Linked DNA regions of Callithrix jacchus. The protein of the gene in region 2 interacts with the protein of the main gene of each other region in a biochemical or structural test. Links are inferred from orthologs where the notes say so. Each region holds a gene or a part of one and is shown on either strand. Other genes may lie near its edges.

Region 1 (4,109 bases), on a different chromosome or scaffold from region 2:
TTAGATAAATTCCATTAGAGATAAATAAAAACCTTTAACAGTTAGTAGAACTGCTGTCAAACATTTTAAATATCATGTAGGTCAGTTCATACTCCAGGTCACAAAACATTTGGCATAATCCTATTTTCAGTTTCATAGGGAAGAAATTTCTTACTCAATTGATAGGACCAATGTGGTTAGGGAACGTTAAGTGCACACAGCTAAGTACAAACTGTAAGGTTTTATTCTACCCAGTTACACTACTTTATTACTCAACATACAATCAAACTACTAGAGCAAAATTACATAAGAGTTTCCTAGTTTCTTTTAAAAATCAACCTTGTTGTACTCATGATTCTCGTTTTAATAGTGTAGTGTTCTGTGCCATTGCCCATGTGGTTTCAAAAAAACTTTAATAGGATCAGTATTAGCATTTTTTCTCTATTTTTGCTTACCTTCAGAAATCCTTTTCAGCCAGTACTACTTTTTTAAAAAGAAGAAAAAAAGCCTACAAAAGTCTAGAACTACTAAAAAAAAAAGGCCTTGAAACAAACAGCCACATATTAATCAGACTTTTCTCAACTCAAATATTAAGCAAGTTGTAATTTAATCAGTGATGTGCAGTAATCAGAATTCATTTTACATTAATCAAACATTAGAATATAATAATCTTCAAAACCTGAGGCTTTATTTTAAAGAGGAGCACTTCAGAGTGCTTTTGTACCTACCACATGTGAGGCATTTCAAGTTGGAGGACAATGACTCCGCTTGAAGGAAGGCAGGGTGGAGTAGCATCCTCCCTATTCCTTTAGGAAAAAATCTTTTCTTTCTAAGGGAGAGCCAGAGTGAAGTGGTTGAGAACATGCCCTTAACATTCTTAAGATATGGAGAAGTGTGGGTTACTTGTTACGTGGCTCCCTAAGGAGAAACATTATCAGTTGGAGGGACTTCAAGTAACTGAAGCCACTAATTTCTGCTTTCGCTCTACTTTTCCTGGGAGTGGAATGGGTCAGGTTTGCTAGTACATAGAAAATCCATGAGGAAGCATTACTTCTCTCTTCCACTTGCCTAATTCTGAGTGGAACCCCAAAACCCGGCGTAGGGCTGAGGTTTCTCTGCTGCCATCCATGAAATTATCGTGAGTGGAGAATCTCTCCCTCTCTGGCTCTTTTCTCCCAGTAGTAACAGTAACAGTGCCTCACTAGTTAAGAGATACCGTGGTTATTGAAGTATTTTCTCGGCAAACGGACACTTCATGCTTGGGTATACTAATGGAGGGAGATAAAGACACACACAGAGTGTTTCCCCAACTTTTTGGCTCACATGCCTCTGCTCATGCACAACCTAGAGAAAAAGATGGAACCAACTCCTGTGTACAGATTCAGGGGATTGCAGGTGCCTAACACGATTTTCTTTTAACTACACTTGTTCACAAAAATTTCACAGGAACTTGAAACAAACATTCAACAGGAAGTATATAAAACTTTTCAATACACCGTTAAAGTCCTTCCATAAATCTATTAACATTAAATTGTTTCGAAATTCTACGCACGTCTACTTCTATATTACCTAATAAAATCTTAAGCAAGAAAAGGAGAAAACTACCTTTTCATGCTTTCAGGCCAGAGACTATCACTTAGTCTTCCATGCAGGGAGGTGCCCAGTACGGAGAAACTAACGGAGCGGCTGAATACCGCCAGCGAGGTTAGGGGAGACAGGGGAGGCAGCAACGTCTTCACTGCACTAAACACCCAGTAACCCTACCACCCACCCCTCACCCCTCTCTAATCTGCTCTCAATGGATCGCGGGGTTGGTTTTGTTTTTTTCCATTTTTGCTCCGAAGTGCTCTGAAGCAGGGAAACTTAATTTCACGTGAAGGGCCACTGTAAACTGCTGCCTCCTTTAAAAACGCATACGGGAAAAGAGTAAGTTAAAAACATCTGGGGCCACACAGAAGGTTCTAGAAGTTCTGCAGACCCCGGCTGCCACAGTCCTTAATCGCATGGAATCTCACCGGGACTTTTATATCCTCTGATTTTTTTTCCCACTCTCCAACACCCAGGTAAGTCAGAGTGTGGCCACTGATTACGCCCTCACAGGTTTAGCTTAAATCGAACGCGTCCTCTGTCGGACTAGGGGAGAAAATCCGAGAAACAAAACTGCTCCACGTCCATCCACCACAAATCTCAACAGGAAACTTCTGCGGCCGCCGCCTCACTGTGCCCCAGACCCCGGCCAGCCACACACGGCCTCCGTCCGCGAACCGCGGCGCAGCTAGCAGGACGCCCGAGACCGCCCGCCCGTCAGCCCGCTAGCCCGCCAGCCCGCCGCTCACCTGAGCTCCAGCTGGTCCAGGCTCTCCAACAGGCGGCTGGAGCGGTCGGCCATGGAGGAGGAGCGGCAGAAGCGCCCCTCGTTGGCTTTAGCGTTAATCTTCGCTTGAGCCATCTAAGCTTCTGACGTGGGGCAGCCGAGAGGTCACCGGCCCCTCCGGCGGCGGCGAATGGAGCGCTCCTGCGGCTGCAAGCGCTGCCGTCACTACGCGGGAGCCCGCCCTCCCCGCCTCTGACGCCCGCGGGAGCAACCCTAGAGGACCCGCTAACACCGCGGCTGCCGCGTGGCCAAACAAGGGCAGGCGCGGCGCCCGCGGGGCTCGGGGATGCCGGGCCAGCGAGGGAGCAGCCGCGGCCGGAGGAAGAGGTGCGCGGACCACGAGCGCAAGGCTCTGAGGCGCCAGGAGGGGCGCACGCAGAGACGTAGCGCTTAATGTGGTCTGCCGGGTCTGCCGCTTGTCTCGTCAGCTCCTCAGACCCAGGAACTACCCGAAGCGCGCGCGGACCCACAGACCACCCCCAGCTCCGCCCTGCGAGGCCCCGCCTCTCCGTGCAGACTAAAAGTAACCAACTCCCCCCACGCGAAGGTTCCTATCGGTCGATGGGCTGTGGGTGTATTGCTCAGTAATGGGTTCGTTTAGTTTCTCCCAGCACCCATAATTCAAAGCAAGAACAACGACATTTGAGTCCTGTGATATGGGGAGAAAACGGCCTTATGTAAAACACAAGGCAGTACAGCTTCTAGGCAGACTACACGCACCTGACCTTCCTATTACCACTCTTTCCTGAGATGAGTAATGAAAGCACCTACAGCAACTGAAGCTTTGAAAAAGAAAAAGCTATTCCATCTCTCCTTGTCTAGCTAGATGTGGGAAGCAAGGTGAATATATTTCATTTTTACCATTCTATTTTGAATTTGAGACTGGGTCTGTCACCCAGGTTGGAGTACAGTGGCACGATCACGACTTAGTGCAGCCCTGACCTCCTGGGTTCCATCGGTCCACCCACCTCAGCCTCCCAAAGTGCTGGATTACACGCTGGGCTTAATGAAGGGGTTTTTAATTTTTGCTATTAAAATTATGCCTGTTAAGTGAACCAAGATCTCGCCAACTGCTTCACACCAGCCAGGGCGACAGGGCGAGACTTTGTCTCAAAAAATAATAATGATAATACTTCTGAGTGAAATAATTGGTATTAAGGAGTCTTCAACTTTTAAAAATCTTCTGTTAACAAAAAGATGCAGAAGGCCTCTAGGTCAGGCATGAGCTGTAGTTGACAAAAGATGGAGTAGAGCTGAGAGTATAAAGACTGGACTACTTAAAAAGTGAGGCTTTGGTCCCTCTCCTGATAGCTCTATGCCTCTCATTGCAAGGATGAAAATCTACAAGGCACAGAAAATGATAGATAATAATAGTTTAAAGTTGAACCACCACCTTTAATCAAAGAGATCAAAGCAGTTTAAATACTTGAACAGAGTTGAAGCCCTTAAGGCTGGATCCCAATTCCCTCTGAACTCATTCTAAATCCTAATTAACTATTGGGGTAGGGGATTATTTGACCTTATTAAAAATACTCTGTCATGACACAAACGAAATCAAAACACATTTTGTGAGTGGTCTGAAAGCCTATCAAGTGACTTTGGAATCATCCTGAACTCTTTTTCTCTCATAGCCTACCTAGATCCAGCCTATTAGTAAATCCCATCAATTTTACCTTCAGAATCTATCTAGATTCTTCCCAATTATACCCCACCATTCTGGTTCAAGCTACCTGGTAAGATTGCACTTGGAGTACTA
Region 2 (4,105 bases):
GGCAGGAGAACTACTTGAGCCCAAGATTTTAAGTCTGCAGTGAAGCAGAGTGAGACCCTGTCTCTAAATTAATTACTTAATTAAAAATAAAAGAAAATGTGGTATACATACACAATGGAACATTATTCAGTCATACAAAATGAAATCCTGTCATTTGCAACAGTCTGGGTGGGACTGTAGGTTATTAGGTTAAATTAAATAAGCCAGGTGCAGAAATAAAATATTGCATAGTCTCACTCATATGTAGGAGCTGAAAAGGTGGATATCATTGAGGGAGAGAGTAGAATGGTGGTGACCAGAGGCTGGGAATGAAAGGATGGGAGGGATGAAAGAAGGTGGTTTAATCAGCACAAAAAATATAATTAGATAGAAACAATTAAGTTCATATACAATAATATAGTAGGGAAATTACAGTTAATAATTTATTGCATATTTCAAAATAGCTAGAAGAAAGGAACTGTAATATTGCCAACACAAAGAAAAATGTTCCAGGTGATAGATATTCCAGTTACCCTGATTTGAACATTACACATTGTATACATGTATCAAAATATCATATGTAACCCCAAAATATGTATAACTATGATATATCAAAAATGAATTAATTAATTACTTTTAAAAAGACTCTTCCTTGTTTTCCAGCATACTTTGCTTCTGGTACCCTCTTGGCAGAAATATTAAGTGACACTCATAACTACTCCAGACAAGTATGCCCAGGTTTGAGCAATTTCTAAAATTAAGAATTAGGTGGTGAGTATGTTCCAGGCACTCTTGGGTTCTCAAGTGTAGCACTGCCTTTATCTGGACGCTGTAGACCAAAGCCTACCCAGGTTCTGACTGTCCTGAGTGTTATCAAGCAGGAGTGACTCTATCAAGTACAGAGTCGAGGGAATTAAGTTGGCCGGAATCAGGCACTTCTGAACACCAAAGCAGTGGCAAGTAAGAAGGGATGATGTGAGTGCAGGGCAGGAAGCACTATAGGCCAGTGCCCAAAGAGTGACTCATATTCCACAGGCAAAATTCCGACTTTGACTCTTAAAAGAACAGCATCTTTATTATGCCTCCATCTTTTCTTGGTTTGGTTTTGATATCAGCAGGAAAATCTATAATAGTCAAACGGAAAATATTTCACAGTTGAAAACAAATTAAAATATTTCTTCCAGATATAAATGTCCTTGTATCAAAGAAGCTAGATGGTTCACCCAGACTAGATACAGCTAGCTACAGAGATAAGCATGAAGATAAAGACAGACGCACACCGATTTAAAGATTGACATGTCTTACATCTCTCAAGCCTCGCAAGTATTAAGAAACATTGGCTTGCTGACTCCACCTCCGTGGCATTCAAAGTTCAATTCTCTTTCTCCGCATGAGTTAACTTAACACTTAGATGACAAAACAGATGTCAGTTCCCCAAATCTCAAAGTGCTCCAAAGGAAGTTATCACCTTGGCTTATAATTTTGTTTTGACTGGAAATCAATCTTAATTACCATTTTAAGGCCCCCTTTAAAAAATATATCCAAGGTATTTAGCAAATTTCTGAGTTTCCAATAGTACATATTGTGAAAGTTTCACTTTTACACGCATTTTTTATGACAGCAGTTGCAAATTATGAGGAACTCATAAGACATCACTTTCTTTAGAGACTACAAGGTATACTCTAACTGAAGGCTAGATATCTGTCTTTGAGTTTAAAAATAAAGTGCTGAGCTCTACAAGAGTTTGCCAGTGACTAAGTGGCATTTTATCACCATTAGTTATTCCCCTTTTCCAAACTGTTCATAATCCTTTTATCTAGGACACACCCTACATTGGGAAGATTCTTGGAATAGGTCTAAACACTAATGAATTCATCTTGCCAATAACGGGACTAAACCTGAACCCATTTCTATCCCCCTACTACACTATCCATATTGTGGGTTTCATAAAGTTACTTCTGAAAGATACTCAGGGAACATGTACTGGGGCCCTTTACCAGTTTACATTGTCTAATGATTTAACAATGTTCCCATCTTAAAATCACTGTCAGAGGTTCCTCAGGCCAAATTTCGGGAATAACCAAGAACTCCCGGGTATATAACACTGCCAGTAAAACGTCTCCTTCCAAATAGAAGGGGGAATGAGTTGAAGTGAAAACAATGTCTTTACCTGCTGCACACTCGCGACTCTCATATACGAGTCCAAGACGATCAACAGAGGAACGTGGATATTTTTGCCTTGAAATAACTTGGAGGCTGGAAAACAAGGGGGTGAGGAAAAGAAGCAAAGTCACAATCCACAGCACTCCCTTTCCTTTAAGTCTGAAAAAGGGAGAAAAGTCAAAAAGGTGAACGCGAGACCTCTCTGGAATTCTCAACTCTACTCAGCCCTAAGGAAAGGATATGGGAGTTTGAGGCTCCTTAAGAGTCCGGGTTTGAGCAGCGTCAAGGGAAGGAGGACGAAGTTTGCAAAAGTGAGGAGGGGGTGAAAGTTTGCAAAAATAAATGCAGTTTCCTTGAAAGTGATTACCGTGCTCGGAGTACGTGAACACCAGCAGATCCTCCAGGATTTGGACCAGCGTTTCTATCTGTTTTCCTTCCTGGACGTTGTTCAGCCTGACTATTAACTTCTTCAGAGTTTCCTCGTCCTCCTCGCACACCTGACTGCTGCCACTAGCCATGGTGGCCCCTGCTTCCAGCCCGCAGCCCTCCCAGCACGAACGTCCGCTACTCCGGGAACCGGCAGGGGCGCCGGCCACAGCTTCCCGGGGGCGAGCACAGCTCACCTCACCGCCCGCAGCCAGCGCTTCCCGCGGGCCCCATCTGCACCCACGCCCGCCTGTTTATGAGGAAGGCGGCGGCTCCCCGCCCCGCGCTGCCCTCCCTCTCCGGAGCCCTCCTGCTCGGCTTCCTCCTCCCCCACCCAGGCCCCAAAAACTAGCTCAGGGGCCTGCCCGAGTCTCGGCGGAGGCGACGGGCCTCCCAGAACCCTGGCGGCGGCCGAGCGGCTGCTGGAGCCGGGCCTGGCCGGGATGACCGTGACCGTGGCCCCCACGCCTGCCTAAACCCGACCCCGGGCTGGCGCCGCCTCCTGGGACCAGATTCCACCCCAGCGGCGGCGCGGCCGCGAGTCGCGCAGGAAAAAAACTGACTCGGCTGACTCCGCTGAGGCCCCAGGCCCCGAGCCCCGCAGCGGAGGCGCCACCCTCCGCTACCCGCCAGCGGGGGTCCCTGAGGCCCCCACAGAAGGTCTGGGAACTGGGAGCAGGAAAAATGAAAGCCGCCTATCTCCAGATCTAAGAATAGAAATCAGGGCGTTGGGAAAACAGGACACCGCCCAGATGGCCCCTTTTAGGAAAACATTCTCTTTAGAGTTCCCCCTATAGGGAATCGAGTAATTTCCCCCAAAGGACAGAGAGAGGTTAGCTTTCAAAACTTGCCTGCTACTGTCTTTTTTATGATTGTGGTGACTGTTCGTGGGAGAGGAAATAAACATTGTTTCTCTGTGAGTTATCTGAAACTCTGGTCACCACAAGGCCCCTAAATTAACTTTTGGAAATTTGAGTTGCACTAGGCAGGATCCTAATGGTTGGGACACCCGAAAAGTAATCAGCTCTCAGAGCTATTAGAACTAACATGGAAGAACAGGGTACATTAAATGAAAGGTGAAAAGGTGAGAGAAGCAAACCTAAGTACTTTTCTCTTGGTATTCAGAATTACTTATGAGTGTCCATCACCCCCAAGTTTTTTTGTTTTTTGATGTTTGTTTGTTTGTTCTGTTAAGTACCTAAGTAATGTGTTTTCTAGGAGCAACCAAGCAGGAACATTGTAGACAAGGCTAGGCAAAGATGATCTACCCTTCAGGTGATGTGTCTGTCCTCAAGTTCATCTACAAAGAAGAGGATTGGTCTGGAAGTTAGTACTTCACAATTTTAGATTTGTTTTCACATGTTATTTCAATCCTGATGACAATTCTGAAATGGATAAATGTATCCTTCTTTCACTAACGAGGAAATTGAGATTTGGAGTTGATAAGTGAAGAGCTTTGCTGGATTCACCCAGGTGGGAAGTTGAGAGCCAGAATTTCAACCTAGGCAAATCTCAAAACACCAGGTGGGAGGTTCTT
Region 3 (4,233 bases), on a different chromosome or scaffold from region 2:
CGTTTAAAGAAGGAAGGGGCAGAGATCACACTGTGTTTCTGAACTTCCTTAAGTCAACTGGGCGGAGGCCCTACCGGTTCAGGCACCTGCAATTTCCGCCTTTCTCCTTCCCCCTCTTCCGGGCTCTGTCCCCGCTCGTCGCCCGGCCTGTGGCCCACTCCCATCGCCAGCTGGGGCCCTGGGGACTACGACGTCCTTCAAAGCTTGCTTTTAGAAGACAAAACGGTAATGATAGTCACGTTTTAAATCACTGCAGTGTGAGCTCTTCACGTGAACGCTTTATTTGGGTAGGAAAACCTAGCCTACGAGAAACAGGCCCGTGCGGTCACGCCTGACTGCTCGTCTCCGGGTCAGCTGTGCCAGGACCAGCTCCAGCCCCCCACCGGAGAAGGCGATCCTTTCCCCTCCGCACTCTGGCTTCCCTAAAGCGGCCGCGCCTCCTTCCAGGCCTGACCTCCCGCCGGCTCCGCCCGGCCCGGCCCACCTCGCCCCATCTCGGTGCCCACCCATTGTCCCCTCTCGCTGTCACCGAGCGCAGATCCCGAGCTCCCGATTGGAACACCTCCCCATCACTCAGCCACACTCCCGTTTCCGAGCCATAAAAGGTCTAGGGCCACTTCCCCGGAGCCAGCAGGTAAAGCCGCGGCGGCGTAAGGGAAGCAGGGAGCGGCCGCGCCCCCTGGTCGACCCAGCCGAGCAAGGGGAGCACACCACACACAGCCCTCCCTTGCCTTGCGACCGCGCCCTGTCCTCGCCCCAGGGCCCCCACCCTGCAAGTCCTGATCACAATGCCGGAGCCGCCGACCCACACTCGTCATCCTGCCCCGGGACGGCCCTGGGACAGTGACCACCGCGAAGCACCGAGGGCAGGGCAGGGCGGGCCGGGCCTCGGGGAGGGGGGCGGGGTGGGGGGGATGTGAAAGGTCCCGGATGTTGCTGAACTGGAGCCCCTTCCAGAGGAGTGAGAGGAGTGACTGGCGCAAGCGCAGACCGGCTGAGCGAAAGCTAACGTGGGGGTAGGGGTAGGGAGACAGCTGCCTTCCCACAGGCTCAGAGGTAGAGTGGGCCGGTGGAGGCTGCAGGGGAGAGGACGTCGGGGACCTAAGGGGAAGGCGAGGAGTCGGGGGGATCTGCGTTGGGGAGGAAAAGAAAAACAGAAGCTTCCCGCCTAGGTGCACTCCGGACAAGCGTAGAGGACCTGGGAGCCGAGCCGGGTGGGGGAGTGGCCGTAGCGGGCGAGGACGCGCGCTCCTCCGCTCGCCCTCCAGCGCGGGCGGGCAGGACGCGCGCCGGGGAGCGGCGGTTGCGCGAGGCCCAGATCGCTGTGGGCACTAATCAACGGTTGCCATAGCAGCGTTTGACGTCATCGTGCGTGTGGTGCCCCTGCTGCCGGGGCTGGTGATTGGAGGAAACCCCGTGTCTGCGGAGCGGCTGTAGCCTGTGAGCAGCGAGATCCAGGGACAGAGTCTCAGCCTCGCCGCCGCTGCCGCCGCTGCCGCCGCCGCCGCCGCCCAGAGACTGCTGAGCCCCTGTCCGTCCGCCGCCTCCACCCACTCCGGACACAGGTGAGGAACCCGTCCGCCGCCGCTCCCCGCTCCTCCTGTCCCAGGCCAGCCTTCTGAACGCGTGGGAGCCGTCCTCACCGGGTCCCCTCATCCCCGCTCGCCCCACGGTGGCGGCGCGGGGCTGAGGCGGAGTCTCCCCGGCAGACACGGGCGGCGGCTCCTCTTCCGCTGGGCTCGGGCGGGCGGCTAGCGGCAGCCTCCCGCGCCTGGTTTCCGCGTCGCCGCCCCGGCCCCGATCGGTGCTCGCTCCCCCGTCCCGCTCCCGGGGGTGGGGAGGGCGCCCACACGCGAGATCCCCGGGGATCCCCCGTCGCCTGCTCCCGAAGCCGGACGAGGCATGGCCGGGGCGCCGCCGGCCGCGATTCGTCCCCACCCTTGTTTCTGCTTCTACCCCCGCCCTCGCTGCCCTTCTCGCTTCCGCCCGAGATAATGACTCGGCGGCGGCGGCGGCGGCGGCGGGCATCGCGGGGGCGCAGGTGAGGCCGCCCCCTCCCCTGTCCCTCGGCCGCCCCTTCTTTCCCCTCCCCCGCTCTCCCTCCCCCGCTCTCCCTCCCCCTCGCGCAGCCTCCGCGCTGGGCGCTGCGGTGGCGGGACCCGGCCCTCCCCCACCCCGGGAGGAGGTAGCGCGGCGGGGAGGGGCCGGGGGCCTCGGGGACACAGGCGGGAGGGAAGGGCCTGGCGGAAGCGGACAGGAGCCCGGGCCCGGCCCGGCGGCGGGAAGGGAGCCCACTGCGGGGGGAGGCTGTGGGGTGGGGCTCGCCTGGGACCTGGAGCTGAATTTCCTGGGCTCCGCGGTGGGGGGAAGGGCTTGAATTTTCTCGGTGGGGACGGGGGATGGGGATGGGGATGATTTTCTTTCCTCCTTATGAACCGTCGGGGAAGGCGCGGACTGGGGCTGTGAGCCCAGGTTGGGGTAGAGCGGGGTGCGGATCCCGCGATAGGCTCTCGCGCCGGAGTCACTAGAACTGGAGGGTCCCTCCGCCGCTTCGGGGACGCACAGTGATCCTGAGCAGAGCGGCCGCCGGTGGCCCGCTCGACTGGGTGTGGCTCTCGTCCCCTCCCCCACCTGCAGCTGTCGGGCCCTTAGGGACGGTGCACGCGGGCACCGGCGCTGATCGGTGGCGGGGAGAGCGCTGGGTGGGAAGGCGGGGTGTGTCCGCGGTGAGGCTGCTAGTGGTTCCGCTTCTGCGGGCGTCTCTGGCGTCTCTGCCCCGGGGTCGGGTGGCTTGGCTTCCCCCCACGGCTCGAGCGGGGGCGGGGGCGCCGGCTGCTCCTCCCCCTTGCTCCGGTGGGGGGGGGAATTAACACTCAGCAGTAGGTTGGGCTCCCTGACACAGATCCGCCATGACAAAGGAGGAGAGTCGGGGACCTGAGCGGAGGCTCGGGCTTGGGCGGAGCCTGGAGGGGGGTGGTTGCAGATACGCGGACCCGAGGATTTGCACTTTAAAGTCCGGGTCTGCCCGTTTTCTTTTCACCCTAACCGATGTCTCAAGTCAGGTAAGGGTTAAATGGGTGCGGTGAGTCCTGCCCGCAGTGTAGAGGCGAGGCCTTGGAGCCATCGTTACTGTGTGAGAAACCTTATCCACTTCCTCTTGTACCCAAGTAGTGGGGGAGAGAATCCTTTGTGCTGGTTTGAAATCATTTTTCGTTAGAAGCAGAATTAGCCAGAGAGCGTGTCTCAGTTCCTAAGGGAAAAATTAATAATAGAGAGACCTGAGGAAAAGCATGTCGTCATAAAGGTTAAATAATTTTTATGGGTGAGCCAGTACCTTGCATCCAAATTAGCTAATTACTTGCTTAAAATGTGAGGACATGTTCTCTCATTTGGTTAAAAAAGTATTGTGGGATTTCCCTGGGAAGGTAAAAGGTAATTAATATTCGGGAGTCAGCTCCCAAGGTGGGTGGGTCAGAATAGCTCTTCTGTTCACCTTCTAATTTAAAATATACACTTCATTTATGTGTATATTTTCCTCTAAAGTCGTTTATTCTGCGGTCTCACTGTGTGGATTAGTGTCTTTGTGCTGTTTAGCAACTTTGAAAAGGATGTCCTTCCAGAAAAATGTAGCTGAGGTAAATTGAAAAGGTCTAGGAAACTATGTGAGGGAAGGAGTTAGGTGGGTAGTCACGGCAAAGGACAGCTTGAGTGATAGCATGCAGTTATTGTGACGGTGACAGCTAGAAGCAGGATGCGGCACTTACACATTGCAACTGGAGCCATGACATTGCAAACACTTGTAAATTAAGCACTTCCAATGTGATGTATTTTAGTACTCACAGTAATAGTTGAAGGGCCATGACTCGTGGGTATTTTTAAAGCATGTGGACATACAACACGATAAAGAGTTGAGGCATTAGGGTCGGTTAGATGTTGGTCCTTTGTGGTGGCTTTACAGTAAAAATATCTGAGAACAAGCAGTTTGGCTATTCCTCCCCTAAAGTGTTATGCTATTACGGCTGGCAAATGTTACAGAGATCTAGTAGATTTGGAATGAGGGGAAAACTAAAATTTAATCACTCCTTATTATGAAAGTTAAAAGACATAAATTACATTAAACTGACTTACGATTCTGGAAGTATGATAGAAATCCACATGTTCTGTAAGCAGTACGTTTACAAAAGGAAGAAAAGCTGCTTAATTTTATATCACTTAGTGGTATTGGAATTGAGT
Region 4 (4,024 bases), on a different chromosome or scaffold from region 2:
ATGCTCAATATCATTAGGGAATTGCAAATTAAAACCACAGTAATATCAGTTCACACCCACTAGATGGCCATACACAAAAAGATAGGCAATAATAAGAGCTGGCAAGGAGGTAGAGAAACTGAAACCCTCATACATTATTGGTGGAAATATGAAGTCATATAACCACTTTGAAAACAGTTTGGCAGCTTCTGAAATCTAAATATAAATTGCCATGTAACCCAGCAGTTTCACTCCTTGATATATATGCAAGGCACATGAAAATATGTGTCCACACAGAGACTTATATATCAGTGTTTATACTAGCATTATTCGTCAATGCTAAAAAATGGAAACAACCCAAATAGTCATCATATTCATCAAATATTGAATGGATGAAGAACATTTGGTATCTTAGGACAGTGGAATATTACTTAGCATGAGGGATCTTTGAGGGTTGATGAAAATTAAGAAAATGGGTATGCAACTCTATAAATGTCCTAAATATCATTGAATTGAATTGTATACATAAAATGGGTAAATTTAGTGGTATTATACCTCAATAAAGCTGTAATTTTTGGAAATAAAAACAGTGAACTAGACTAGCTCTGCATTTTTTATTTTTTGGGTGTTTTTTTTTTTCTTTTTTTTTTTGAGACGGGGTTTTGCTCTTGTTACCCAGGCTGGAGTGCAATGGCGCGATCTCGGCTCACCGCAACCTCCGCCTCCTGGGTTCAGGCAATTCTCCTGCCTCAGCCTCCCTAGTAGCTGGGATTACAGGCATGCGCCACTGTGCCCAGCTAATCTTTTGTATTTTTAGTAGAGATGGGGTTTCACCTTGTTGACCAAGATGGTCTCGATCTCTTGACCTCGTGATCCACCCGTCTCGGCCTCCCAAAGTGCTGGGATTACAGGCTTGAGCCACCGCGCCCGGCCAGCTCTGCATTTTTTAAAGAAATTTCTTACATTCTGTGCCTAGATGACCAGTATTACACTCAAGAAACTAACGGACATAGAAAAATTAAATGTGCCTCAAAACACTCAAGATGAATACAGCAGTCTTCAGTAGTCAACGTCATGGCCATTCCAGAGAGAAAAGGTCCAAGTTCAGTGCCTTGAATCTTGTTGCCTTCCATGAAAGGAAGCTGGAATGAGCTTTGCCCCGGTGACACTTTTCCTTGTCACTGATTAACTAGCGCTATAGGAAGGTTGCTCTGCCAACACCCTGCTCTGCCTGGAGAGATATCTGGCCAGTTCTGGTGAGCAGAAAAAATGTCTACTCGTTACCACCAAGCTGCTAGTGATAGTTATCTGGAACTTCTAAAAGAGGCTACCAAGCGAGATCTAAATCTTTCGGATGAAGATGGCATGACTCCCACTCTCTTAGCAGCCTACCATGGGAACTTGGAAGCCCTAGAGATAATCTGCAGTAGAGGGTAAGTTCAACCCAATGGTTTCAGTTGGAAACAGTGTTCATGGTAGCTTTTTGCAGCAGCAGCAAGAGGCAGGGATGTCAGTACAAATACTTTATCCTCCTTCTAGACTGTCTAAATGATTGGCTTTTTAGAGAAAGGGAGAAAACTACCTAGAGAGGCTCTCTTTTCTCACTGAGGACTGGCACTATGGGAGTGGCTCATCCCTTAGTCACAATCAGAGGAGAGATTCTGAACTGTAAGTGTTATCTGCCTGGAGAAGAGAAGAGATATTTTAATTCTATGCCTTTAAAAATGGTTTTCATGAAATTTATATAGTTTACTCTTTTAAAAGAGGCCGCTGTTTTACTTGGTTTTAAGTTGTCAAATTTGGTTGGAACAAATGACATGTTTTTAGTTTATTTTTTCATCTATGCCATTAAAATTCCAGTCTTTTATTAACCTTCAATCCCAGTACAAGCACATGATTTATTTTTATTTTTTGGTTTTGACACAGAGTCTTTCCCTTTTGAAAGGAGTTGCTGGCTCTACAAGGAATCTTTAGCCTACCTTGACTCTTGTCAGTTCTTTGGCCAGTGGACACACACACACACACACACACACACACACACACCGCTCTTTGCCCAGATTTTAATGAAGTTAGCTAGCTCTTCTGCTTGTTCTGCCTGTTATCAGAGGGCTGTATTGTGCTGGCGACTGTGACTCAAGAAGAGTAAGGAAAGAAAAAAGGACAATGTAAATAAAGGAGCCGAGTGAATCCAATTCCAGTATCTGTTATGTGCCAGCCATTTTGCTGGCCACTGGCACACTGTGATCAAAAAGCCAGCCACAATCCCTGTCATGGTGATCAGATTTGAGAGGGGAAGGCAAGACATCTATGGTGTGTGTGTGTGTGTGCGCGCGCATGTGTGTGTGTGTTTGAGACAGGGTCTCATTCTATCACGCAGGCTGGAGTGCAGTGTTGTGATCATAGCTCACTACAGCCTTGAGCCCCAGGCTCAAGTGATCCTCCCACCTGATCCTCCCGAGTAGCTGGGACTAGAGGTGTGCACCACCATGCCCAGCAATTTTTGTATTTTTTGTAGTGATGGGGTTTTGTCATGTTGCTGAGGATGGTCTTGAACTTATGAGCTCAAGCGATCTGACAGCCTTGGCCTCCAAAAGTGCTGGGATTATACATGTGAGCCACTGTGTCTGGCTTATCTGTGATGTTTGTTACAAAACGGGAAATAGAGGGCACTAAATAACATAGGCATCTATCCCAATCTCAGGGGTGAGGGAAGGCTTCCCTAAGGGAAAAGCATTTAAGCTGGGATTAGGAAAATGAGAACAAGTTGGCCAGATGAAAGAGTGTTTTTCCTAAGACAGAACACTACATTCTGAGAAGTAAAGAAGCTGAATATGGCTGGACATGGCTCAAGTAGCAGTGGGGACAGGGCAAGTTCCCAAGAGATAAGACCAGATCACAGAGAGCCTTGTCAACTCTGGTAAGGACTGTACCCTAAGGGTCCAGGAAGCCATTCCATGTCTTGGGTTTACGCAGGGAAGCCGCCCGAGTAGATTTATGTTTACAAAACTCACTCAGGTAGATGGATAACGGCCGGAGAGAAGGTTTGGGGCTGTTTTCATGGTCGAGATGAGTTGGACTAGGATAGGGGCAGTGGGAATGGGAAAATGCGGTTGGCTTTGAGCGGCAGTTTGGATGTAGAATCAATCATGATTAACTGGATGTGGGCAGATGAAGGAAAAGGAGGGTTAAGGACCCAGGATTTGGATGTTGACACTATTTATTAAAATAGGGGACATTTAGGAGGAACCCAGGATTGGGAGGATTCCTGAGTGTAAGATTGAATGAGGAAGTGCATGAAGCAGGTCTTCCCGTCTCTGCTGTCTGATTTGACTTCCTTTTCTCTGATTGATGTGGAGACACATCGATCCCCATCAGCCAGCCTTCTCCAGTCATCTCACCTCTTCTCCTGCTCAGCCCAGGTTTCCCCAACTTTCTCTATCTACGGAAAGTTTACCTCTTTCCACAAACTGCAAGATGTCAGTTACTTTAAAATCGATGTATTAGTCTATTCTTGCACTGCTATAAGGAAATACCTATGCCTGGGTAATTTATAAAGAAAAGAGGTTTCATTGGCTCATAGTTCTGCAGGCTGCACAGGAAGCATAGTGGCTTCTACTTTTGGGAAGGCTTCAGGAAGCTTCTAATCATGGCAGAAGGAAAAGGCATCTCACATGGCAGAAGCAAGAGCTAGAGAGCGAGGCAGGGAGGTGCTAGAAAACAGATCTAATGAGAACTCACTATCATGAGGACAGTACCAAGGGGGATTCCAGTCCTAAACCATTGATGAGAAATTCACCATCATGATCCAACCACCTCTCACCAGTCCCTACTTCCAACATGAGGGATTACAATTTTATTTGAGATTTGTTCCCCTCACAGAGATTGTTCAGATCTCACAGATCTAAACCATATCAATCAGTGAGTTTGTCCTCCTAGAAGAGGGTTTGGGGGTCTTCTTCAACAGCAGAGAGCTCTTGTTCCATTTGAGGACCATTTTGAATAGTAATGGTTAGGTGTTCTCTCTCTCTCCTTTGAAAGCCTGAAA
Region 5 (4,281 bases), on a different chromosome or scaffold from region 2:
CGGTGCAGCACGCGGTAGTGGATGACGTCGCGGCCAAAGCTCACGCACAGGACATAGTCGCCGGGGTGGCGCACGGACTCTCGCACCAGGAACAGCCCGTCCTCGGGCGGCTGCAGCTGCTGGACTGCCTCCTGGCCGGAGATCTTCCCGTGGAACCACCTGTGGCCACAGAAGGGGTGGGTCAGGCCAGGCCGTGGACCGGGCAGGGGGTCACCTCCTGCCCCCCCACCCCAGGCCCCCCGTCCCACCCACTCACGGCATGAGGCTGAGCTTGGGGTCCGCGGAGAGGGCCTCCCGCTCCCGCAGCGCCCCGGCCGCCAGCAGCCCCTCTTGCCCGCTGGTGTGGTGCTTGGCGCGGTACCAGCTCTTGTTCTGCCAGGGAGGAAGCACAGGGTTGGTGTGGCGGGTGGGGTGGGGGTCCTGGGGGAGCCCCCATCCCCAAGCACCCATGCCCACCACCTGCCGCTCACCTCGCAGGCCTCCAGGATGGTGACCACGTCTCCCTTGCGGAAGGCCAGCTCCCCCGGCTTGGGGCGGGTGTGCTCGCATTTAGTGATACACTGGGTGCCCGGGGTCCAGCGCCTCTGCAGAGGGGGCCGGGGGGGAGGGGGGACATCACAGAGATGTGGGGAGCAGAGGCACAGGAGGCGAGAGAGGACAGGAGGGGGAAAGGCATGGAGACTGGGAAAGAGCAGAGAGGCAGAGAAAACAGGCAGACACCGGGGAAGGAGGGAGCCGGGGAGAGCGGGGCTCACAGAAAGAAATCGTAGAGTCACAAACAGAGGCGGGGCGCGGTGGCTCACACCTGTAATCCCAGCACTTTGGGAGGCCGAGATGGGTGGATCGCCTGAGGTCAGGAGTTTGAGACAAGCCTGGCCAACATGGAGATACCCTGTCTCTACTAAAAATACAAAAAAATTAGCTGGGAGTTCTGGCGGTCACTTGTAATCCCAGCTACTTGGGAGGCTGAGGCAAGGGAACTGCTTACACCCAGGAATTGGAGGTTGCAGTGAGCTGAGATTGCGCCATTGCACTCCAGCCTGGGTGACAGAGTGGGACTGTGTCTCAAAAAAAAAAAAAAAAGGGTCACAAACAGGGGAGGCCGGGGACAGAAGGTCAGGATGCCGAAGTGACTGAGAAAGACCAGGCAGAGTCCGGCAAGGGGAATGGGGGCAGAGAGGACAGCCCCCCAGAGGAACCGGCTGGACACACTCACCGCTGGCATCCTGGCTGAGACGGGAGGGGGATGCCAGGCTCGGAGGAAGCAGGGGCTCACCTGGGGAAAGGGCAGAGTCCAGATGGGAGGGAGCTGGACTGGGACCCAGGGTCCAGTTCCTACCACTTCCTCCCCAGGCCAGGTGGGGATGACGGCGGGGAGGGCGGGGCGGGGGGGGGGCAGAGAGAGCCCCCACAGAGGCATCCCGGGTGGGACCCAGAGCTGGCTCCCCAGCCCCTTCTGGGAGGTGATCTTTACCCGGGCAAGTTCCTTAGCAGAATCACAGCCATGAAATGCCTGCCAGGAAACCAGGGAGCCTTGCCCCGCCATCGCCCCCAGAGGTAAACTGAGCCAGGGGAGAGGCGCACTGAGCAAGTGGCCACAGTTGGGGGCGCTGGGAATGGCCTGCCACAGGCTGGGTGGCTGGCACAGGAGGCAGAGAGCTGGATGCCACTGGATCAGCCTAGTTCTTCCTCTTTTCTGGGAAGTAGGCAGAGGCAGGGTGGGGAGATAGGGATGAGTCAAGGTCATTCCCAAGAATCTCTGACCCTGGGGTGGAGGTGGGGCCAGGGGCGGGTCCTGCAGCCCTACTGGGCTCCTCTGGCCACCGGCTGAGCCTCTCTGATCGCCCCCCAACAAACCCAGGACAGACACACAACGTCGGTCATTGCTGTAGGAGTGGGGGACCCTCCCTGCCTCCCTCAACTCCCCAACTGCTGGTCGATGGGAAGTGGAGGGTGTTGGGGGGGTGAGTCTCAGCCCCTCCAATATGCGCCTCCCCTGAAGTCCTCCAGTCCCACGTGTACTCACACGCATACAGATGCATGTACACGCACAGAAACGCACGGGGCTCGGACGCAGGTGCGCGCAGATAAGCAAAGGACCCCGTCCACCTGGAAACAGGTGTGTGCACACGTCCCCGCGCGCCCAGGCGCTCCACACCCGGGAACGTGCGCACCTGTCCTCAGCCCCCGGCACACACACAGCCACCCCACACTGCAACACCTGGGCGCCAGCGCCGGGCGACCCAGGCACGCAGAGCGCCACGCAGGGCCGCGCACACGCATCTCGGCCACACACGCGCACAGCCCTCCACGTGGACGCGCGGGTACACACGCCCGGGTCTCGCAGCCGCGCACACCCGCACCCGGGAACCCCCCCACCGCCACACCGGTCCGATCGCCGCGCGCCCGGGACGCGCACACTCGCGCGCACACCGGCCCTTCCTGCGCACGTCCCGGGCCCACCCCCGCCCCGAGCCCTCGGGGTTTCCCCCACGGCCTCAGAGTGTCCCCACCTCTCCCCGCGGACACGCTCACCTGCTCAGGGTGCGCTCCCGGGCCGCGCCCCGCGTCCGCCCCCAGGAGGGCCTCCGCGAGCCGGCTGCGCACCCCGAGGCGGTCCCGTCTGCACAACTTGGAGCGAGTTGCTCCGTTTCCTCATTTTGGGGGCGAAGGAGGGTCGGGAGTGGGGGTAAGCGGGAAGCGCCGCGGCCTGGGAGGCCCCCACGGGTCCTAGCGCCGGCCGCACTGCGGTCTGCTCCACGCGCCGCGCGCCGCGGCCTCCGCCGCCGCCGCCGGCCCCTCCCCGCCCCGCCCCCGCGGTCCCGGGAGCCTCTCGAGCGCCCCGGGCGGGGTCCCGGGGCGCACGCGGGCTCCATGCCTGGCGCTAACCTGGATCTTTCTGGCGTGCGCCCCCCACCCACCCTGGGAAGCGGGGCTCTTGGGAGCAGGGGCTGGGGGCTGAGGGAGAGTGAGCTGCCCGTCGGGGGAGGTAAGCAAGGCGCCCAGCCCGGACACCCAGAGGGCCCTTATCACTCTGCAATTTCACCTCCGTCCGTGCTGCCTATTTTAGCACCCAGCGCCTCAGAGAGCTCTTTGTGGTTGACCAAAAAAGAGCCCCCCAAAATGTCAGCCACTCTGGAATCATTGTCATCATCATCAACATTAAGGGAAAACTGGGTAACAGAAAGCATCCTCCGGAGCTGCAGCCATCCGGATGCAAACTTCTCAAACCAGCCCTCCTTGGAGGGCAAAAGAGGGCTCTGGGAGTTGGGGGGTCCTGGCTCTGCCCAGAGGCAGGAGCTACCCATTTTCCAGCCGGGATTGCCTCCTCCATAGGGAGGGCGGGGGCCCCATCCGCTTCTGCCTCATAGAAGTGTTTGAGCTCACGTGGTCTTGGTGGACAGGGCCCTGCCCCTAGGGATGGCTTCGTGGTTCCGGTGACCAAACCACCCGATCCACTTTCACCCAATGGAGGTCCTTATCTTTTTAAAAATTTTTTTGACACAGGGACTCCCTCTGTCCCTGTCCCTCAGGCTGGAGTGCAGTGGCATGATCATAGCTAATTACAGCCTTGACCACCTGGGCTCAAGCCCACCTCCTGCCTCAGCCTCGGGAGTACCTGGGACTATAGGGTAATTTTTTTTCTTCCAACTTTTCGTAGACATGAAGTTTCACTTTGTTGCCCAGGCTGGTTTTGGACTCCTGAGATCAAGCGATCCTCCCACCTCGGCCTCCCAAAGGCTGGGATGACAGGCGTGAGTCACCCCACCTGGCACCTTATCTCCTTTCTAAGGGATGAGTCCTCTGAAACAAAGATCAAGCTCATCTCAGGAGGGCAATGAACCAAGACACCCAGGTGGCCTGCGCCCATCTTTAACCTTCCGTTACCCCAAAAGGGTAAGTGTCTGGACTTGGGGGCGTCGCATGATTTTGGGGGAGCAGAGGCCCAGATACAAGAGAATTACAGAAGAGCTGTGTTAAGGGACCTCCGCAGCAGACCAGGCAACTACATTGTTATTATTAGAGATGAGGTCTCTCTGGGTCGCCCAGCCTGGCCTCAAACTCCTGGGCTCAAGCGATCCTCCTGCTAAGCCCCCCTTTGCTGGGACTACAGGTGCACACCACAGCGCCTGGCCAAACCACACGATTACATGTTACGTTATATTACATTATATGCATTTTATTATATATTTTACGCCGGACCATCCAGGATGCCCTCTCATCTCAACAGCAACGATTTAATCCCACCTACAGGCTGGGCCCAGTGGCTCACGCCTGTAA
Region 6 (4,076 bases), on a different chromosome or scaffold from region 2:
TCAGGTGACCCGCCTGCCTCAGCCTCCCAAAGTGTTGGGATCACAGGTGTGAGCCACCACATCTGGCCACTTAGCATGTTTTAATAACGTTCCATACACATCCAACACCCAGAAATTTCACTTCTAGGTAATTACTCAAGAGGAAGAAAAAATATGCTACAAAAAGCCCTTTCAAGACAGCTTTATTCATACTAACCAAAACATAGAAACGACCCCAGTGTCCAAAGTGTGAACGAATGAAGGAATGTGACGTATTTTCCATGGCGTGCTACTTGGCAATAAAAAGGAACCAGTTACGATGCGTGCGACGTGGCTGAATCTCAGAACCTCGTGTTAAGGGAAAGAAGCACCACCAAAGTGTATTTTGCACGACTCTATTTGTGTGATATTCCAGAACAGGCAAAACTAAGACATGGAGATGTTGGAATCAGAAGAGTGGCTGCCTCTGTTGGGAATATCTATAACTGACCAGGGTAGATGTTACCTGGGGATATGCATTTGTCAAAACTCCTTGACCTGTACGTTTTTCGGTGTTGCAGCTTATACCACAATACAAATGTTTATTCTCCATCATTTCAAAGGTCAGCCAAATCAAGGAGAAATATGTGAAATGCACAGAAAAGCACAAAAACAAAACAAAAAATTACCTGCAATTAACCTCCCACGGGTGACCGCTTTTCCGGCTTTGCACCTTCCTAATGCAGACTCGGGTCCCATCACTGCACACCCGCGCCCTGGGGCATCTGCGTGGCAGGGGCGGGGGACCGCGGTCCTTTCAACGCCGCCGCCTCCCGCCAGGGCCCAAAGGCTCGGCTGGTGGGAGACTCAGACCCAAGTGCGGGAGCACGGGCCCCAGGACGCACCCCCACCCCCATGCCAGTCCCCCGTCCCCTGCTACCCACTGCCCGTGGCCCTCGCCTCCCTGCCTGTCGCCCGCTGCCCCTGGTCCTCCTACCCCCGTTCCCCTGCTGCCCCCTCCCCAGAGCCCCCGCTCCAGGCCCCTACTCGCCCCTCCCTCGTTGTCGGCCCCGGTGAACGCGCCACCCCGGAACCACCCCAGCTTTCTTTCGCGGACGCACGGACTCATCTCCCGCCTGGCCTCCCCCACGGCCACAGCTACCAGCTGCGCTCCGGGGCCCAGGGAGGGGATGGACGGCGCGTCTGCGCGTCTCTATGGCGACCGGGCGGCTGCGCGCCTCGAAGGCTGGGGCCTGAGGCGGAAGTCCCGCCCCGCCGGCTCCCGCGAGACCTTGCGAGCGTGACGTAGCCGGAAGTTGGTGGCGGCTTGTGGGCGCCCGGGCGCGTCCCCGTTACAGTGCGGCGGCTCGACCCCGGCTCTGGCCTGACCCCGCGGCCCTGTCCGCCTCCTGCCAGGTAAGCGCGCGGCTTGGCGGCGCGGGCGCGGGCTCGGCCTGAGGCCCCGGCTCCCGCGGCGTTGGCCCCGGCGTTCGCGGGCAGACCTCCCCCCCACGGCCGCCCCCGCCCGGACCCCGCTCAGCCCCGAGGCTGCTGCCCAGAGCTTGGCGGCGCCCACTCCGCGGTCCCCCGGTCCGTTCGGCGCTGGGCGGCTGGTCCTCCTCGCGCGGACGCCCCGCTGCAGCCGCCTCTCCCCGGTGCCGCCCCGAGTCCCCCGCGCCCTCTTCCCTCCGAAGCTGCCCTCCACCCGCACCCCGGATCTGGAATCCCCCACCGGTTACGCGAGTCCAGAGGATCCCTGCCCGCTTAGGGCGCGAGCAGGACCCTGCCCTGTCCCCTTCAACCCCCTCTTCCCGAGCTCCTTAGGACCCAGGACTGGGCCTGGGCTTCCACCCCTTAAGGAGTGAGGGTTCTGCCCGGTGTCATCAGAAGTGGGGTGTTGGTGAGCCCACTGTCGTCAGAAACGGCAGCCTCAGCTCGCGTGGTTTCCTCTTTACCCTTTGACGTGGCTGCCTGTCTTAAGGGAGAGAGAAGAAACCAGGAAGGGGCTTTTAAAACTGTTTTCACTTTCTGTGGGTTTGGAAGAACTATGCTTCGTGTCTGTTCTTTTAAACGCCTTAATTACAGGCCACCAGTTCTAAGAAGTAACTCTGCTCATTTTTTGCAGGTCTGATTAATATTCCTGCCACGCTCTGTTAATTTTAACAGCAAAGTTTGGCTCTAAAGTGACCCAGGGCATCGAAGCTGTTAGCTTTGTTTAGGCATCCCTTTCTGGGGCCGCATCCCTCTCAGAGTTGAGAAGTTGTCTGTTCTTTAGGAGAAGGGGCTGCTGTTCTTAGACGTGGGTCCTTAGGTGCTTCAGACTCAGCATTTCTGCCTGTCACTGTGTCACAGCCCTAGGGCTTGAGCAGTGTTCTTAAGCATCCCTTTTGACCTCACCTATTGCGAGTGTTCCAGCTTAACGGATCCTGAGTTTTGAAGTCTCAGTGGCTTCCGAACTAATACAAAGTGTCCTCGCTGGGTTTGATGTTTACTGAAGTTATGTGCACTTGCAGGAGGAGGGATAGTTTTACATCTTGGTTCAGGTGTTAAGAGTTCCTGGATTATTTTTCAAGGTAAACCATATTGGGCTTTTGAAGGTTAGGAGGTATTTGTTTTTGTGTTATTAACTTTAACATTTCAGGTAACTGGGGCTCGTGAATACCCAAAATTAGTCACATAGAGGAGTTACTTTTAAATCCAAGGGAAGTCCTTTATTTTTTGCACATTTTCTCCCTGCAGTAGTCCTGTGAGTATCCTGTGTATTTTACAGTTAGAAATTGAAGGAGCGTCTCATGGTTCTGACTTTTGTGTGCCCGTGTCTGTTGGCCAATACATGAGCCCCTGAGAGCAGGCCTGGTGCTGTGGGAAGGAGCGAGTGTGGAGACCCAGAGCGGCCTCGTCCTGCTCTGGTGGCTCACCTCCTCTGCATGGGCCGGCTTCTGCGTGTGCCTGCCGTGAGAAGAATGTGTCCCAACGGCCTTATAAGCTCAGCCCCGCTACCCTTGGTGCCAGGACCTCTCCAACCTGGCTTAGCCCCTTTCCATCTTCAGTGCTGTGTTCGGGTGGAAGCTCAGTTTGATGACAGTTTCGCCTGAATGAGTCATGCTGGGATCCAAGTCTATGCGGTCGGGAGTAAGCTTTCAGACCTGCCTCATGCTCTGGTTCCTGGGCGCTCTCACACCAGGCACAGAGCATTACGGAGTAGAAGTCAGCCCAGGGTGAACTTTTGGCTTTGTTTTGATGAACTGCAGAAAACATATTTATTTCCTGACTTTGAGTGGGTTTAAAGTAGGTGCTGGTGAATACTAGGAGTCATGGGCTTCAGAATTCAGGAACTTTGACCGTGTGGAGAGTTGGGACACTCCCCCCTCCCAGTGAATACCTTGTTTCTGCATACTTATGATGAGAAATGAAATATAGGACAGAGATTTTTCTTTTTTTCTTTTTTTAAGCTTCACCTCAACATAAATTTCCACCTACACCGTGAGTAGGAAAGCTGGTCTACACAGTCCTCTTAAATACAGTGGAGGAGGAAAGGGCTGGCGCTGGAAAGGGCAGCCGTGCACACGTGTAGTTTCCTGTGGCTTACAGAGCGCTGTGTGTTCTCTGTGTAGTGAGGTAGAGGGAACAGCACACAGCTCCGTTCTTATTGAGAGGTGGGTGAGGCTCAGCGCAGTGAGGCGTGGGCGCGCGGGGTGCAAGCCTGCTTCCTCCAGGCTGGACTGTCTCTGCAGCCTGCCCATTGGGGGTGTATTCGGGGCCACTGGGTCATTCTCGTTGGACACTGGGGTTGGTTCCACTCCTTCCTCCAGCTTTGAATCTCAGCTGTATCGGTTTTCCCGGCCCTGAATTGGATGGGCCACCAGCGGAAGTTGTGCTTTGTAGTTAGGAGAGCTGCAGAGACATCCGCAGGTTTTCTCTTCAGCCCGAGCCTGGTTGCTGCTATCCCACTAGGGTCCCTGTGAGCCACCGCGGCGGGGCTGATGGTCCGAAGCCACTCTCTCTGTCCTGCTGCAGCCACACTGCTGCCCCCCCCAGGACTCGGAATGGCCCCAGAAGGACCCACCTGCAGGTCCCCCAGCAGGCCAGCTGTTCCCACACTGTGGGCAAGGGCACTG
Region 7 (3,500 bases), on a different chromosome or scaffold from region 2:
CCAGGGTAATGCTGGGGGCCCCAAGCCTGGGAGTGGAGAGGGAGGTCTGCCGGCCATGGCCGGGTCAGGGCCCCGAGACCAGGAGAGCCGCTGGAAGCAGTACCTGGAGGACGAGAGGATCGCTCTTTTCCTGCAAAATGAGGAGTTCATGAAGGAGCTGCAGCGGAACCGTGACTTCCTCCTCGCCCTGGAGAGAGGTGGGCAGTGCATGCAGCCACTTTTCCCTGGCTGAAGAAGGGAGGTGATGCCGGCTTTAGCCTTGCGGCTCGGGAAAGCACTGAGCTGGGGGCTGAGGGGGCCAGGTGCTTTCTGTCCTGCAAGGCATGACTCCCACCAGGTTATCCCATGGGAGCCCCAGAATTCTGCCAGTGCGGACCTGCGTCACTGGCCACCCCTTTCTCCCTCGGGACTCAGAGGAAGGAGGGTGTACACTCTTAGGCCTTCTTCCCTTTGCACATCTGCTCTGTGCCAGGCACTGGTCTTGGCACAGGACAGCAGGGAAAAGAGCACTGCCCTTCCCCACGGCACCAGCCCCAAGGCAGGCATGATGTGTCTGGAGCTCCGGGAACAGAATGACTGGCTCCATGGGCGCCAGTGCGTGGGAAGCTCCTGAGTGGAAGGCCTTAGAGCAGGGGCTCTGGAACTCTGCGGGTATTTGGGTTGTCTCTGGGTTGGAGACCCTGCTCCCCAGCCTGGCTGCCTTTCCCCTGAGGGGTGGGAGTGTGTTTGGGCTGGAGGAAATGAGAGGGCCGTGGAGCTCTGTTGCTGTGATGGCCATGGCGTGAGAGCTTGTGTGTGTAACGGATGGTGTGTTGGTGGGGAAGGAGCAAGTTGTGCAGGGAGAAGGCTGAGCTGAGGCCCAAGGTCAGCCCCAGCTCTGCAGCAAAGGTGCTGGAAGTCTCAAGGCCTTTCCTTTATTATTTATTTATTTATTTAGAGACACAGTGGCTCATTTCCCTCTTGTGGCCCAGGCTGGAGTGCATTGGCTCGATCTCGGCTCACTGCAACCTCCACCTCCCAGGTTCAAGCGATTCTCTTGCCTCAGCCTCCCAAGTAGCTGGGATTACAGGCACATGCCACCATGCCTGGCTGATTTTTACATTTTTAGTAGAGACGGTGTTTCACCATGTTGGCCAGGCTAGTCTCGAACTCCTGACCTCAGGTGATCCACCCACCTCAGCCTCCCAATGTGCTGAGATTACAGGCGTGATCCCATCACATTTGGCTGGGTCTTTCCTTTTAAATGAGGGTGTTTGGACTCTATAATCTCTCCATGTCCTTTTAATTCTGACATTTTAGATGGTTGTCAAGTAGTAGTTTCTTTCACTGCTGGTTCTTTAAGAGCTGGGAGATGTTGTATGCACTCATATTTTGGGTGGCTGTGTGCTCATGTGATTTTGGGGGCTCAGCCTCTAGCAACCTACCACGTTTCAGCCCAGCCTGCCCCTAGGAGCCCAGGAGCTAACCTCCCTGACTTGTGAATGTGGTCCTTTTCCAGATCGATTGAAATACGAATCCCAGAAATCTAAATCCAGCAGTGTGTCTGTCGGAAATGACTTTGGCTTTCCATCTCCTGTCCCAGGTAACTTTGCCTTCCGGGGACGGACACCTAGAGGCATGGCACAGGGGGCTCACACCCAACTTTGCTTTGCATATTTGGAGTTTGGGAGTAGGGTGAAAAAACAGATTGTGGGAGGGGGCCTGGGCCTTTCAGCAGGCTGGTGGGGCCGCTTCTGCCCCCACCTCCATATCTACTCCATTTAGCAGCCCTGGGGTCTTTCCAGTTCAGCCACGGCTGGGCTTCTGAGCCCACAGCTGTGATCGAGTAACAGGCTGGCTGAACTCTCAACCTGTGCCTTGAGTGTAAGTTAGTCAAGGACACACGGCCGGGCGCAGTGGCTCACACCTGTAATCCCAACGTGAGACCCTTTGTCTCCACAAAAAAAATACAAAAAATTAGCTGGGCATAGTGGCATGTGCTTGTAGTACCACCTACTCAGGAGGCTGAAGTGGGAGGATCACTTGAGCCCAGGAGGTTGAGGCCGAAGTGAGCTGTGATTATGCTACTGCACTCCAGCTTGGGTGACAGAGTGAGACCTTTGTCTTCAAAAAAAAAGGAAAGAAAAGGACACATCATACCCGAAAATGCCCCATGGTGGGACTCAGAGACTTGATAAGTCTTAGTCTCTGCCCTGGGGGATCTTATGGTCTTTTTTTTTGAGACAGAGTCTCGCTTTGTCACCCAGGCTGGAGTGCAGTGCCATGATCTTGGCTTACTGCAGCCTCTACTTCTCAGGTTCAAGCAATTCCCCTGCCTCAGCCTCCTGAGTAACTGGGAGGGACTACAGGCGCACGCCAACATGCCCAGTTAATTTTTTGTATTTTTTTAGTAGAGACGGGGTTTCACCACGCTGGCCAGGCTGGTCTCAAACTCCTGACCTCGCAATCCACCTGCCTCAGCCTCCCAAACAAAGTGTTGGGATTACAGGCATGAGCCACCAGGCCCAGCCAATCTTATGATCTTGTAAGGAGAAATGCCCAGAAAACAGGTAGAAGAAACTAGCAAAGCTGAGGACTTACTGATTTTAGCAAATACATGGAAAAAAAGGAGGGCAGGATCAATCTGGGGAGTTCACTCATTCATTCATGACATAGCTGGAGAATATTTGCCAGCTGTTAGTCCCTGCCCTAGGTGTTGGAGGAAGAGGAGTTTCTAGCTTTTTGTACAAGGTGGTGGGGAGTAAGAATTGCCTGTAGGCCAGGTGCAGTGGCTCACGCCTGTAATCCCAGCACTTTGGGAGGCTAAGGCGGGTGGATCATGAGGTCAGGAGATCAAGACCATTCTGGCCAACAAGGATGGTGAAACCCTATCTCTACTAAAAGTACAAAAATTAGCCGAATGTGGTGGCATGGGCCTGTAGTCCTTTCGGAGGCTGAGGCAGGAGAGTCACTTGGAACCTGGGAGGTAGAGGTTGCTGTGAGTTCAGTCAAGCCACTGCACTCCAGCCTGGGCAACAGAATGAGACTCTGTCACACACACACACACACACACACCAGCCTGGGCAACAGAGTGAGACTCTGCCCTCCCCCCCACACACACACGCAAAGAATTGCCTGTAAAGAGGGCCATGCCCTTCTGCTCAGAAGCCCTAATGGCTGAAGGAGGATTGGATGGGGGTGAGGGAGCAGCAGTGCTACTGGGATTCGCAGACTACTGAGTTGAGCCACAGCTGGAAACGTGGTGCCTGGTCAGTCAGTGCCCCCTGCTCCACACATACATGCTGCCCACCTTGGGGAAAGGCTCTTGCCTGGAATAGACCTTGCATCATGCAGTGGAGTCGAGGGTGGAGGAGCAGAGGGATGGGGGGCTGAGCTGATCCCAGCTTGAAGGGAGAAAATCCTGTGGAACTGACTCATAAGCAGCAGGCTGGGAGCTTAGGCCTCAGCAGATGTGCAGCTGGGAGTTTTAAGCAGGAGCTTCTTGTCCTTGATCCTGAATT

The links.
Region 1: the proteins of LRRK2 (region 2) and BAG2 form a complex in vitro, tested with the Homo sapiens proteins (2 studies listed by BioGRID and IntAct, with this or other methods). The link is inferred for Callithrix jacchus from reciprocal best matches to the Homo sapiens genes LRRK2 and BAG2.
Region 3: the proteins of LRRK2 (region 2) and YWHAZ interact on a protein array, tested with the Homo sapiens proteins (3 studies listed by BioGRID and IntAct, with this or other methods). The link is inferred for Callithrix jacchus from reciprocal best matches to the Homo sapiens genes LRRK2 and YWHAZ.
Region 4: the proteins of LRRK2 (region 2) and ANKS4B interact on a protein array, tested with the Homo sapiens proteins (2 studies listed by BioGRID and IntAct, with this or other methods). The link is inferred for Callithrix jacchus from reciprocal best matches to the Homo sapiens genes LRRK2 and ANKS4B.
Region 5: the proteins of LRRK2 (region 2) and MATK interact on a protein array, tested with the Homo sapiens proteins (2 studies listed by BioGRID and IntAct, with this or other methods). The link is inferred for Callithrix jacchus from reciprocal best matches to the Homo sapiens genes LRRK2 and MATK.
Region 6: of the proteins of LRRK2 (region 2) and ARFGAP1, one has a biochemical effect on the other in vitro, tested with the Homo sapiens proteins (3 studies listed by BioGRID and IntAct, with this or other methods). The link is inferred for Callithrix jacchus from reciprocal best matches to the Homo sapiens genes LRRK2 and ARFGAP1.
Region 7: the proteins of LRRK2 (region 2) and CUEDC1 form a complex in vitro, tested with the Homo sapiens proteins (2 studies listed by BioGRID and IntAct, with this or other methods). The link is inferred for Callithrix jacchus from reciprocal best matches to the Homo sapiens genes LRRK2 and CUEDC1.

The regions. Positions count from the first base shown.
Region 1 is NC_133505.1:65,540,759-65,544,867, reverse strand, and holds the start of BAG2 (BAG family molecular chaperone regulator 2), read right to left. Parts: upstream 2,801-4,109; 5' UTR 2,429-2,800; coding exon 2,316-2,428; intron 1-2,315. UniProt on the Homo sapiens protein: Co-chaperone for HSP70 and HSC70 chaperone proteins. Acts as a nucleotide-exchange factor (NEF) promoting the release of ADP from the HSP70 and HSC70 proteins thereby triggering client/substrate protein release.
Region 2 is NC_133510.1:35,491,794-35,495,898, forward strand, and holds the start of LRRK2 (leucine-rich repeat serine/threonine-protein kinase 2), read right to left. Parts: upstream 2,801-4,105; 5' UTR 2,661-2,800; coding exon 2,510-2,660; intron 2,236-2,509; coding exon 2,150-2,235; intron 1-2,149. UniProt on the Homo sapiens protein: Serine/threonine-protein kinase which phosphorylates a broad range of proteins involved in multiple processes such as neuronal plasticity, innate immunity, autophagy, and vesicle trafficking.
Region 3 is NC_133517.1:96,015,691-96,019,923, forward strand, and holds the start of YWHAZ (14-3-3 protein zeta/delta), read left to right. Parts: upstream 1-1,433; 5' UTR 1,434-1,565; intron 1,566-2,911; exon of another isoform or gene 2,912-3,062; intron 3,063-4,233.
Region 4 is NC_133513.1:22,403,180-22,407,203, forward strand, and holds the start of ANKS4B (ankyrin repeat and SAM domain-containing protein 4B), read left to right. Parts: upstream 1-1,224; 5' UTR 1,225-1,248; coding exon 1,249-1,412; intron 1,413-4,024. UniProt on the Homo sapiens protein: As part of the intermicrovillar adhesion complex/IMAC plays a role in epithelial brush border differentiation, controlling microvilli organization and length. Plays a role in assembly of the complex.
Region 5 is NC_133523.1:3,556,268-3,560,548, forward strand, and holds the start of MATK (megakaryocyte-associated tyrosine-protein kinase), read right to left. Parts: upstream 2,801-4,281; 5' UTR 2,536-2,800; intron 2,110-2,535; 5' UTR 2,033-2,109; coding exon 2,027-2,032; intron 1,697-2,026; coding exon 1,475-1,696; intron 1,277-1,474; coding exon 1,217-1,276; intron 585-1,216; coding exon 471-584; intron 373-470; coding exon 257-372; intron 160-256; coding exon 1-159.
Region 6 is NC_133506.1:58,761,192-58,765,267, forward strand, and holds the start of ARFGAP1 (ADP-ribosylation factor GTPase-activating protein 1), read left to right. Parts: upstream 1-1,276; 5' UTR 1,277-1,374; intron 1,375-1,566; exon of another isoform or gene 1,567-2,531; intron 2,532-3,410; exon of another isoform or gene 3,411-3,614; intron 3,615-4,076. UniProt on the Homo sapiens protein: GTPase-activating protein (GAP) for the ADP ribosylation factor 1 (ARF1). Involved in membrane trafficking and /or vesicle transport.
Region 7 is NC_133506.1:108,462,366-108,465,865, forward strand, and holds part of CUEDC1 (CUE domain-containing protein 1), read left to right. Parts: intron 1-4; coding exon 5-197; intron 198-1,498; coding exon 1,499-1,582; intron 1,583-3,500.